Xenopus tropicalis: one gene and its partners. The protein of the gene in region 3 purifies or fractionates together with the protein of the main gene of each other region. This does not show direct contact. Links are inferred from orthologs where the notes say so. Each region holds a gene or a part of one and is shown on either strand. Other genes may lie near its edges. The genes, in order: cpsf1, p4ha2 and fip1l1.

Evidence for each region.
Region 1: the proteins of fip1l1 (region 3) and cpsf1 fractionate together in Homo sapiens (co-fractionation; 8 studies listed by BioGRID and IntAct, with this or other methods). This does not show direct contact. The link is inferred for Xenopus tropicalis from reciprocal best matches to the Homo sapiens genes FIP1L1 and CPSF1.
Region 2: the proteins of fip1l1 (region 3) and p4ha2 purify together in Homo sapiens (co-immunoprecipitation; 3 studies listed by BioGRID and IntAct, with this or other methods). This does not show direct contact. The link is inferred for Xenopus tropicalis from reciprocal best matches to the Homo sapiens genes FIP1L1 and P4HA2.

The regions. Positions count from the first base shown.
Region 1 is NC_030682.2:153,938,660-153,942,311, forward strand, and holds part of cpsf1 (cleavage and polyadenylation specificity factor subunit 1), read right to left. Parts: coding exon 3,575-3,652; intron 3,081-3,574; coding exon 2,996-3,080; intron 2,843-2,995; coding exon 2,701-2,842; intron 1,935-2,700; coding exon 1,782-1,934; intron 1,209-1,781; coding exon 1,032-1,208; intron 494-1,031; coding exon 427-493; intron 342-426; coding exon 294-341; intron 1-293. UniProt on the Homo sapiens protein: Component of the cleavage and polyadenylation specificity factor (CPSF) complex that plays a key role in pre-mRNA 3'-end formation, recognizing the AAUAAA signal sequence and interacting with poly(A) polymerase and other factors to bring about cleavage and poly(A) addition.
Region 2 is NC_030679.2:36,754,445-36,758,096, reverse strand, and holds part of p4ha2 (prolyl 4-hydroxylase subunit alpha-2 precursor), read right to left. Parts: intron 2,261-3,652; coding exon 2,084-2,260; intron 1-2,083. UniProt on the Homo sapiens protein: Catalyzes the post-translational formation of 4-hydroxyproline in -Xaa-Pro-Gly- sequences in collagens and other proteins.
Region 3 is NC_030677.2:39,662,118-39,665,769, reverse strand, and holds part of fip1l1 (pre-mRNA 3'-end-processing factor FIP1), read right to left. Parts: intron 1,919-3,652; coding exon 1,870-1,918; intron 1,661-1,869; coding exon 1,603-1,660; intron 1-1,602.

The DNA of each region.
Region 1 (3,652 bases), on a different chromosome or scaffold from region 3:
AGGGGCAAGGGAAGGGGAGGGGAGTAGGGCGGCACACAGGGGCAAGGGAAGGGGAGGGGAGTAGGGCGGCACACAGGGGCAAGGGAAGGGGAGGGGAGTAGGGCGGCACACAGGGGCAAGGGAAGGGAAGGGGAGTAGGGCGGCACACAGGGGCAAGGGAAGGGGAGGGGAGTAGGGCGGCACACAGGGGCAAGGGGAGGGGAGTAGGGCGGCACACAGGGGCAAGGGAAGGGGAGTAGGGCGGCACACAGGGGCAAGGGAAGGGGAGTAGGGCGGCACACAGGGGCACTTACCTGCAGGAAGGTACATGTACAAGATAAGGTTTCTGTCCCGATCTGAAACTGAAAGGCAGAACATAAGGATTAGAGACCCCTCGGGGGAGAGAGAAGAATATGGGCCAGACAAGGGGGTGCAGGTTGTACTCACCCAGGAAGCCGAGCTGGTTATTATCCACAAGAAACTCCACACTGTAAACTTCCAGCGGCTTCACATCCTGCCGGGGCAATAATGATGGTTATGGGGCAATAATGATGGTTATGGGGCAATAATGATGGTTATGGGGCAATAATGATGGTTATGGGGCAATAATGATGGTGTAGGGGCAATAATGATGGTTTAGGGGCAATAATGATGGTTATGGGGCAGTCAGGGAGCCGCACCCATATCATTGGTCTCAGTTACTGCCCCCCAACCCTTGTAACCTCTAACACTGAATTATAGAAACAGAAGTTGGGGCGCAAGACAAGCATGAGGTACCTGGGGTGCCACTAAGGGCTGTGATTGGCTATGTGGGAGCCCCTATATGTACAGGCAGCCTATGGGAGGCACCCATGCCCTTAATGCCTCCTTATCAATTCAAACTAAGCCCCTGCTCTGGGGGCACTGGGAGCAACATGTTACCCCCGAGTCCCTGTGGGTACCAACCCAGGGCAGTTTCCCTACAGAGCAGGGATGCGCCTCTATGATTGGCTGAGTTGCCCCGTTTGCCCCAGGGGTAAGTGCCCCATTACTGGCAGCCAGGCGTAACTCACCCTGCTAACGAGGGACAGGGTCTTGCTCTCCTCCTGGTAGCGCAGTAACGAGATGCTCTTCATTAGATCCGCCGCCAGGATGAAGTTCTTGACGCTGATCATCTGATGGATGTAGAGCTGAGTGTCTATGAACGCCATTCCCGTCAGGTCGTTGTCCTTTAGGCTCCACAGGAAGATCTGCCAACACAAAGCACTGTCAGCCCCGCCCACTCCTGTGCCTCTCTACTGGCACAGCCAACCAGTGTCAGCCCCGCCCACTCCTGTGCCTCTCCACTGGCACAGCCAACCAGTGTCAGCCCTGCCCACTCCTGTGCCTCTCTACTGGCACAGCCAACCAGTGTCAGCCCCGCCCACTCCTGTGCCTCTCTACTGGCACAGCCAACCAGTGTCAGCCCCGCCCACTCCTGTGCCTCTCTACTGGCACAGCCAACCAGTGTCAGCCCCGCCCACTCCTGTGCCTCTCTACTGGCACAGCCAACCAGTGTCAGCCCCGCCCACTCCTGTGCCTCTCTACTGGCACAGCCAACCAGTGTCAGCCCCGCCCACTCCTGTGCCTCTCTACTGGCACAGCCAACCAGGGTGAGCCCCTCCCACTCCAGTGCCTCTCTACTGGCACAGCCAGCCAGTGTCAGCCCTGCCCACTCCTGTGCCTCTCTACTGGCACAGCCAACCAGTGTGAGCCCCGCCCACTCCTGTGCCTCTCTACAGAGCCAGATCCTATTTGGGGGATTCTGCCCCTTCTTGACTTACCTTCTGCCCTATTGCAGTCACTAAATACCCGTTGCAGTGACACAGGGCGGTGACTGGTCCTTTCTGCTCCTTTTCATACAGAACCTTGAACTTGTTCTTTGTGAGCGGCTGCCCCGGCTCCGGAACCACTTCAATTATATCCATAATGAGAATCTGGGGGGGCAGGAAGTTCCACTGTGAGGGGGGAGGGAACGGGGGGGCTAAGCAAAGAGGCAGCGAGGAAGGAGGGAGGGAGGAGGCGGGGAGGTGGGAAGGGAGGAGGCGGGGAGGTGGGAAGGGAGGAGGCGGGGAGGTGGGAAGGGAGGAGGCGGGGAGGGAGGAGGCGGGGAGGAAGGAAGCAAGGAGGTGGAAGGGAGGAGGCGGGGAGGAAGGGAGGGAGGAGGCGGGGAGGAAGGAAGCAAGGAGGTGGGAAGGGAGGAGGCGGGGAGGAAGGGAGGGAGGAGGCGGGGAGGAAGGGAGGGAGGAGGCGGGAGGAAGGAAGCAAGGAGGTGGGAAGGGAGGAGGCGGGGAGGAAGGGAGGGAGGAGGCGGGGAGGAAGGAAGCAAGGAGGTGGGAAGGGAGGAGGCGGGGAGGAAGGGAGGGAGGAGACGGGGAGGAAGGAAGCAAGGAGGTGGGAAGGGAGGAGGCGGGGAGGTGGGAAGGGAGGAGGCGGGGAGGCGGGAAGGGAGGAGGCGGGGAGGGAGGGAGGGAGGAGGCGGGGAGGTGGGAAGGGAGGAGGCGGGGAGGTGGGAAGGGAGGAGGCGGGGAGGTGGTAAGGGAGGAGGCGGGGAGGTGGGAAGGGAGGAGGTGGGGAGGGAGGAGGCGGGGAGGGAGGAGGCGGGGAGGAAGGGAGGGAGGAGGAAGGGAGGGGAGGGAGGAGGCATGGGTATAAGCAGGATAGAGGGGGCAAGGAATAGAAGATATTCTCCCTGCTACTTACCCTCCCCCTACAGGTCACCTCCTCCCCCTGCATGAGGCAGGTACCCACAGCAATGTACCCCTTCAGCCCCGACACCGTCTCCTCACTTTTCAGGCTCACGGTTTTCATACATGTGGCGTGTTCCCACTCCTCCAGGTCTATCCTGAAACCGAGAGCAGAGTGTGAGCTCTTCTGTCCAACCCACAGTCAGGGCTGGAACTAAAGCCCCACGAGAGAAGGGAGGGGCCAAGAATTGAGAGCAATGATAGCCAATAGAATGACACTGTACAGCAGCCCGGGGGGGGGGGGACAATACCTGGTGTTGGGGATCGTTTCCCATCTCAGCGGGGAAATCAGCTGAATTGAAAATGCTTCCTGCACAGGTGAGATGTAGCGCTCGTCTGAAACAGCACAGAGACCAGGTGAGGGGGCGGGGCAGTAACCCATGGCAACCAGCTGCAAGTCAACAATGAGAGCAGGAGGGGCAACTGTGCAAACACTGGAACAGGAGTCACAGAGAAGGGAGGGAGGAGTCATAGAGAAGGGAGGGTGGGAGGAGTCACAGAGAAAGGAGGGAGGAGTAATAAAGGAGTGAGGGAGGAGTAATGGAGAAGGGATGGAGGGTGGGAGGAGTCAGAGAGAAGGGATGGAGGGTGGGAGGAGTCAGAGAGAAGGGATGGAGGGTGGGAGGAGTCACAGGGAAGGGAGGGCCGGAGGAGTCAGAGAAGCAATGGAAGGTGGGAGGGCGGGAGGAGTTATAGAGAAGGGATGGAAGGATGGGAGGAGTTATAGAGAAGGGATGGAGGGTGGGAGGAGTTAAGGAGGCAGCCAATCACAGACAGGGCTGTACAAGAAGGCAGAAGACTAGATGAAGGACATGGAGAAATGGCCCAACCTCTTTCTATCGTCTCGAACTCTTTCTCCTCCCCAGTCATGCGCGGGACGCGGGTGCAAACCTCGTGCACACTCGTGG
Region 2 (3,652 bases), on a different chromosome or scaffold from region 3:
ACTGTATATTTGCTATTACATGTTTTAAAACCTTAGGGATCACTTGGTTTTTGCAGTTATAACTAAAAGATTTGTGGTCTGTCACAACATAGACAAACACTCCCACTTTAGGTTAGAACACACAAACAACCAAAGCTTTTAGTCCAGAACTAAATAAGTACCTTGTTCTAACTATAAGAACTACCTTTAGGTATAATAACCTTTACTAGCTGCTGACATGTTGCTCAGTGGCCTCAAAAAAGGTGCCTATTTTACATTTCTGGCTTGAAGGCAAGTTTTGGTTGCATAAAAAACAGATGTACTGCCTAACATAGTCTAGTCTACTGTAGACTACCAGTCATAGGGGCTACCAGATAACTAAATCAAAATCCCTATTTGGTACCCCCAGGTACATTTTATGCTTGACAACACTTTTTACATTTGAATGTGGCTCACAGATAAAAAAGGTTGGGAACCCCCGCTCTTTACAAATCTGTTTCAGCATTTTAATATTTCTGGTATTCCATCATCAATAGCTCTCTTGAAATCATAGTAGAGCGTCCCAATTGGGTTAGGTTATGTAAATGGCCATTCCAGGGCTTTAGTTTTCTTCTCATTAAGTCAATAAAATATTTTGGTTTAGGGTTTTTCTATGGTGGACACATGAATGCAAACTTTATTTAAGGAGAATAGAGAGATTTCTGCAGCTTATTTGCTGTTGCCCTATTTCACTTCCTTCAGAATCGCATGTTGTACTTTTGCCATGATCTTTATAAGACTCCTAGGGAGAGTTTAAAATGTACTGAATGTTCTCTATTTATAGACAATTTATCCTGCTGTGGGTTGATGACCCAGACCTTTAGAGATGCATTAGTAGCATTTTCCAGTTTTCCGCCTCTCTACAATTCTTTGTCTAAGATTGTCTGATATTACTTTTGACATAGGAATGTCTCATGTCTCAAAAAGCCTTTTTTTTCTAGAGCAGTGCAACCACCAATCTCATTAACTCAAAGGCCTGACTTCAATTAAGGTTATACAAGCAATATCAGCCAAAAAGACAGTGTGTGTATAAGTGGCAACACACAGTATGGATGATTTTCTATTGTTATCAATATTATACCAACCATTTGTGCAGAGAGCAGGACTGATCAGAATAGCAAGAAATAAATAGGATGTTCATAAGATCCTCTTCAGTTCCTCATCTGTCACCGCTCCATGCACTGGCCAACAAGTATGTAACACACTTTAATTAGGCTAAAAATAGACCTAGTGTTTATATACAGGAAGATCTGCAATTAACTTTGCATAAACCTAATTTTGACTGTGTGCAGGGTGCATATATGTGGTGGCTAATGGATAGATCTGAACAATTAAAATAAAAGCATATTCTTGACTGGCAGAAAACTGATCAACTAATCATACTGACCTAACTATGTCAAACTAGTGCACTGCGGAGGTATGGCTATACGGAATAAAATTACAGGGCTGTGGAGTCGGAGTCGAGGAGTCGGAGGCAATTTTGGGTACCTGGAGTCGGAGTCGGCAAAAAATGAACCGACTCCGACTCCTACTAAGTTTAAATGGGAATAAAAAAAAAATAAATAAAGCAAGTTTAAATGTCCCAATTCACAAACAGTCATAATTAATTACTTCTCTGCTATAAGAATAAAGCCCAATGCACGCAGTGCATAAACGAACACGAGTGACCATGAAGCATGCTTTTCATTGACTGTATGAATGTATAAAATACATTAGCATATTAAAAACAGAGGAGTCGGAGTCGGAAGTATCAGAAACTGAGGAGTCGGAGAATTTATCTACCGACTCCACAGCCCTGTAAAATTAAACAAATGTATATGCAGATACATTTTGTCCTTAAGGGGATCTTTGGCTTTCAGGACAGTTTGGTTAAAAAAAAGACAGACTGCAATAAAATTAGACTTTATTTTGGTACCCCAAATGTTCAGTTAAGGGCTCCACACTTTGCACAATGATCAGTTTGGGAAAAAGCACTTAAGTAGTTTACTTCTTGCTTAGACTACGGCAAATTTAAAATTCACAATTTCTACAAGGAAATCTCTATAGCAAATAGTAAATGAGTTACCTTTGGTTTTGCCAGTTCCTTTATTTTCGCAATTTCTTCATCAGATAAGGCATTAAGATATCTGACAATACGTGGACTATCCCATTCGTCTTCCACTTTAACTGGACTCAAGATAAGGTAAGGACTTCTGTTTCCGTTATGATACCTACAGAAAAGTCTCCTTTGCCTTCGTGGATTCTGTAAAAGCAGTATAAAAGATAAACCAATTAGCAAACAGACAAGGTAAACAATCCAGTAATATATGTGCTTGCATATAGGTCTATAATTACATGTAGTAAGCCCAAGGGCACAAACATAGGCTACACTCCCCAAACATGAATCACATAGTCATGGGGTCAGCCTGAATGAAAATATGATGATTGTTTGATGCCCTAAAGTGGGCGGAGCTGTGAACAGCCAATCAGATTTTACCTATTGACTTTGCAGAAATGCAACCTGCTGCCATTCTCACAGTATTAACACCAGGGTCCCCAAACTTTTCCTAGTTGGTCACTAGGGTACTGCAGCTTTGAAAAAGTGGGTGGAGCCACCAACAGCCAATCAGATTTCACCTATTAAATTTTATTGGTTTGATGCAGGGTTCCCAAGCTTTGCACAGTCAGTCACTGGGTGATTACGAACTCAAGGTTAGAAAAAGTGGGTGGGGCCACCAAAAGCCAATCACATTTCTTTCATTGTTTTCAGTGGGGAAATTTTAACTGCTGCCATTCTCACATGTTTAATGTCAGGGTTCCCAAACTTTGCACAGTTTGTCACTGGGTAAGTACGTTCCAAGCTTAGAAAAGTGGGAGGGGCCAACAACAGCCAATCAGATTTCAACTATAGACTTCATACATTTACATTTAAACTGCTGCCATTCTTAAAATATTAATACTAAGGTCCCCAAACTTTGCAGAGCTAGTCACCAGATAACTGTGGTTCAGAGTTAGAAAAGGTGGGTGGAGCCACCAACAGCCAATCAGATTTTAACTATTGATTTTCATTGGGGAAATTCAACCTGCTGCCATTCTCACAGTATTAACACCAGGGTTACTAGGGGACTGCATTTTTAGGTTTTAAAAAGTGGGTGGAGCCACTAACAGCCAATCAGACTTCACCTATTGGATTTTTGGTTTAAATTTAAAATGCTGCCTTTCTCATGCTATTTATTTCAGAACTAGAAAAAGTGGGCGGAGCCACCAACAGCCAATCCATTTCCACCCATTAAATTTCATTGGTTTATATTTAAACTGATGCCATTATTTTAGATTAATTCCAGGGTTGTTAAACTTTCCAAAGTTAGTCACTAGGTATTTGCCATTCAAATTTAGAAAAAAAATGGACGGAGCCACCAACAGCCAATCACATTTCACCTATTTACTTTCAATGGTGAAGTGTAAAATGCTGTCAGTCCCACAATTTGTATGCCTGAGTCCCCAAACTTTGCAAAGTTGGTCACTGGGGGACCGCAGTTTAAAAATAGGAAACAGCCAATGAGATTTCATCCACTGAATTTTACTGAATTAAATTTAAAATGCTGCCATTCTCACACTATTTAAGCCAGGGTGCGCACTGTTTGTCACTGGGTGA
Region 3 (3,652 bases):
TCTATTTTGCCAGAAATTAAACAAAATTAAGTTACATGGATAATAGGTGATGCCTCTATGCTACCAAGAAAAATATTTTTTACAAAGCTACAGTACTTTACACAACATCATACATAGTTTTCAGACAAATTTAAATACTTTGTATTTTGATATTCCTACTATAAGTAATGCAAGAATGATAGGTCAAGCACAGAAAATGTACCAGCTCTTACCCTAGAAGGGGAAAAGTGAAAAAGACAAAAATATTTGTCATATGCAACACTTCTCATTTCCAGGGCTCTTCCACTATCACTGTTTCAGTTATACCATGTGATACATTTAAATTAGAATGAGGTCATGTAGGTGGGGGGAGCCTGTTTGGGAGTATAGTAATAATAGAAAGCAATTAGATGTTTTTTTGTTTTTTTTTTAAACTGCTACCTGCCAATTGGTTGCTAGAAGTTACTGAACATTATGCAAATTTATAACCATATGGTAGCTAAAGGTTTTTATCTTAAATAAAAAATTTTATCCACTGTCCTGGAGTCCGACAAGTACATGCTGTTTTGTGCTGGCATATGGTAGCTACAGTCTGGGTCAGGGCAGTTTCATCTTTATTAATAAGTTATTAAACTGGGGCTCAATGGGGGTTACCTCAGCCAGCACAAGTGTGAATGATATTTCCTCCGGGGGTGCTCTTAGAATGGGGAAGACAGACAAAACAGTTGCTGGAATAGTGAGCAAAGAAAGCAGGCAAATCTGCAAACTACTTTTGGGATTAGATTGCATTATATACACATACATAGGAGAGCAAATGCTTCTGATGCCCGTGTGGTTTGGAAGCTGTGAAATGGGAACTAAACTAAAAATGAATATTTGTGAACATACTAAAAGTAGCCCTCTGAGCACTTCTGCGATTTATATTAATTTTCTATTTTTAGAGGTTTTAAGATTTTACCGGTTATATATATATTTTGAAGCCCTGAGTGTAAGCAACCCTGTCTATGCACTTTCTATATTCCGTTAACCCTTGGGGCTGTGGAGCCTCTGTTAAGACAAAAGCCTGGTATTAGAAGTCTTAAAATTAAAATCTCAAAATAGAAAATCAATGCAAATTGCATTACCCTGAGTAACTGTACATCAATTAAATTTTGGGGGTTTAAAACCCTTGTATGTCAGTTACTCCAAGTGCCAACAACTTGCTAATTTAAGACTGATAGTCATAGCAGCACCTTTCAGTTGGAGAGCCCCCTGAAGCCTGGCATAAAAAGGCATAAGGCAATTCCCATGAAAGTTAACAAGAGATAGTCTGCTATTAGGTTATATGACAATATTACAAAAGGATAACAAAGCTCCAGTAAACCCACCAGCTACTAAACAAAGAACCATTTACAAAAACAGAAATTCAACAAATTATGCACAAAATTTTAACCCATTAAATAAATGTTTTTATTGTACCATGTAAAACAAACAAAGTTAAATGTGCATTTTAATACATCATTTTAATGTCATATTCTCTATTGTAGAACAGCTGTAAAAAAAGTACAATTCAAGAATCCTGGGAGACATACTTCACACAAGTTCAATATCCCTTCTCTATAGTAACAATAACTGGAATGTTACCGTTTTCACAACACCATTCTCAGTAGCCTCTGCTTCGATTCCAGGTACAGGGTGAGAGCTGTGGATTAAATAAAATACTTAAACTTCAAGTAAATGAATAGGGCAAACTTTTAAATTAAATGTTTTATCCCATCCTTAACACTAAACTAAAGCAGGCTAACTTATGATGGTAGCTGTGCATATCTATATTCTTGCAGTACAAAGAGGGACACCTGAAACCTAGATATCTAAAAACCTCTCCACAGAAGCAATACAAACTCTACAAACCTTGTTATGTCTTCTTCATCATCATCTGGTGCAGCAGCTTCATTTTCTTCTGCACAAAAAGAAACACAAAGCCTTTGGTATTTGCTCATGTAAGAATGCTCAAGGTATATCACCTAAGACACCCATCCCTAGAATGTGCAATTTGTTGTTCATTAGCATTGTTTTCTTCTCTTATTGTTCAGCATACCTAGTAACCCCACTGCCTAGTTGCTAGCGTTAATATCCCCTTTAAGTTTTCAACCAAAACAGCAATATTCAGCTAAGCAAGTGATTGCACAGGGGAACACCAGGCAGTGAACCAAAATACAATTTTCATGAAATGGGTCTGCACTCAAAAAGATCTCCAATCTGAGTTATTGCCAAAAGGAAATCTCTTTACAGAAAACATCAAGAAATTTCTATATTTTTGTGCTGTTTACTAGTGTGCCCTCCACTTACTGTGGAATTTCTGTGTGAATTAAAGGAATACTGTCACGGGAAAGATTCTCCAGCAGAATCCTGCATTGAAATCAGTTTTTCAAAAATACAGATTTTTTTTTTACATTTTATTTTGAAATTTCACATGGGGCTAGCCATATTTTTCATTTCCCAGGGTGCCACAGGCATGTGACCTGGGCTTTTATAAACTTCATTCACTCAATACTAAGAAATCCAAGTCCAGCTTGGGACTCCTCCAGTTACATGGGAGTAGGAGAAACAATAGGTTACCTGAAAGCAGTTCTAATGTGTAGCGCTGGCTCCTTCTGAAAGCTCAGTCTCAGGCACAATGCACTGAGATGGTACCTACACATCAATATTTCAACTAAAAAAATACATTTGTTGGTTCAAGAAATTCAAGAAATTTGAAAATGGTACAGTAAATTATTTGATAGAAATAAAAAGGTATACCATAAAAACCATGACAGTATCCCTTCAAAATACAGCCATCAATTAAAGGGGGTAAACACTGGTAGTTATACTTACAAATGCCTTATTTTTTACAGCATAAAGGGATACAATTAAAAGGGTTGTAAGACAAAAATGAATAGTCTGTTTACAGTTTCCTCTTTAACAAATAAAGCTCTCACTACCTCTGATTACTCAACCTATAAATCTTTAAAGAGCTGCTGGAATGCTATAAAACTACTCCATGTTCAGGATGGCAGGAAAGCAGTGTGCAGGATTGTTTTTGATGACAGGAAAGCAGTGTGAGTGAGAAGCAAACACATAAAACAACCCTGCACTACTTTCCTGACATCCAGAATACAAAACATCTGATGGTTTTCAGAGATGTGCAGCCAGTTGCCATCTAAACATTTATGCATTGGGTAGACAAGTGGAGCAAAGGATATTGTGGGGAGGGGCTGTAGGTAGAACTTTTTTTTTTTTTTCTATAACGGTACAAATTTTTATTAATGAATGTTTACAAAGTATAGTTTTATTTTTTTAATGGAACCTGCAAACAAGACTTCTATTTTTTTACTTTACAACCACTTAAAGGTCAAAACTCTGGCAATTGGTTTCCTTGCTTTGAAGAGTTTATTCTTTCTTTTTATGCTCATGTCATGTAGTGCTAAAACAAAGGTCTCAAGGCCCCCTTCCCCACACTACCTGTTCCCATGACAAGCTGTGCAGCAGGTCTAACAGGCACCATCTCACACCACTTGTGCAACTGCTGACAGAGCATGCGCAGTTGAAACCAGGTCCAGGTAGGTGCCTGTTAACACCACTGCACAACTCTGAATTTTGAAAACAAATAAAAAGATAGTAACACTTGTCAGAGGAACAGGTGGTGCAGGGAAGG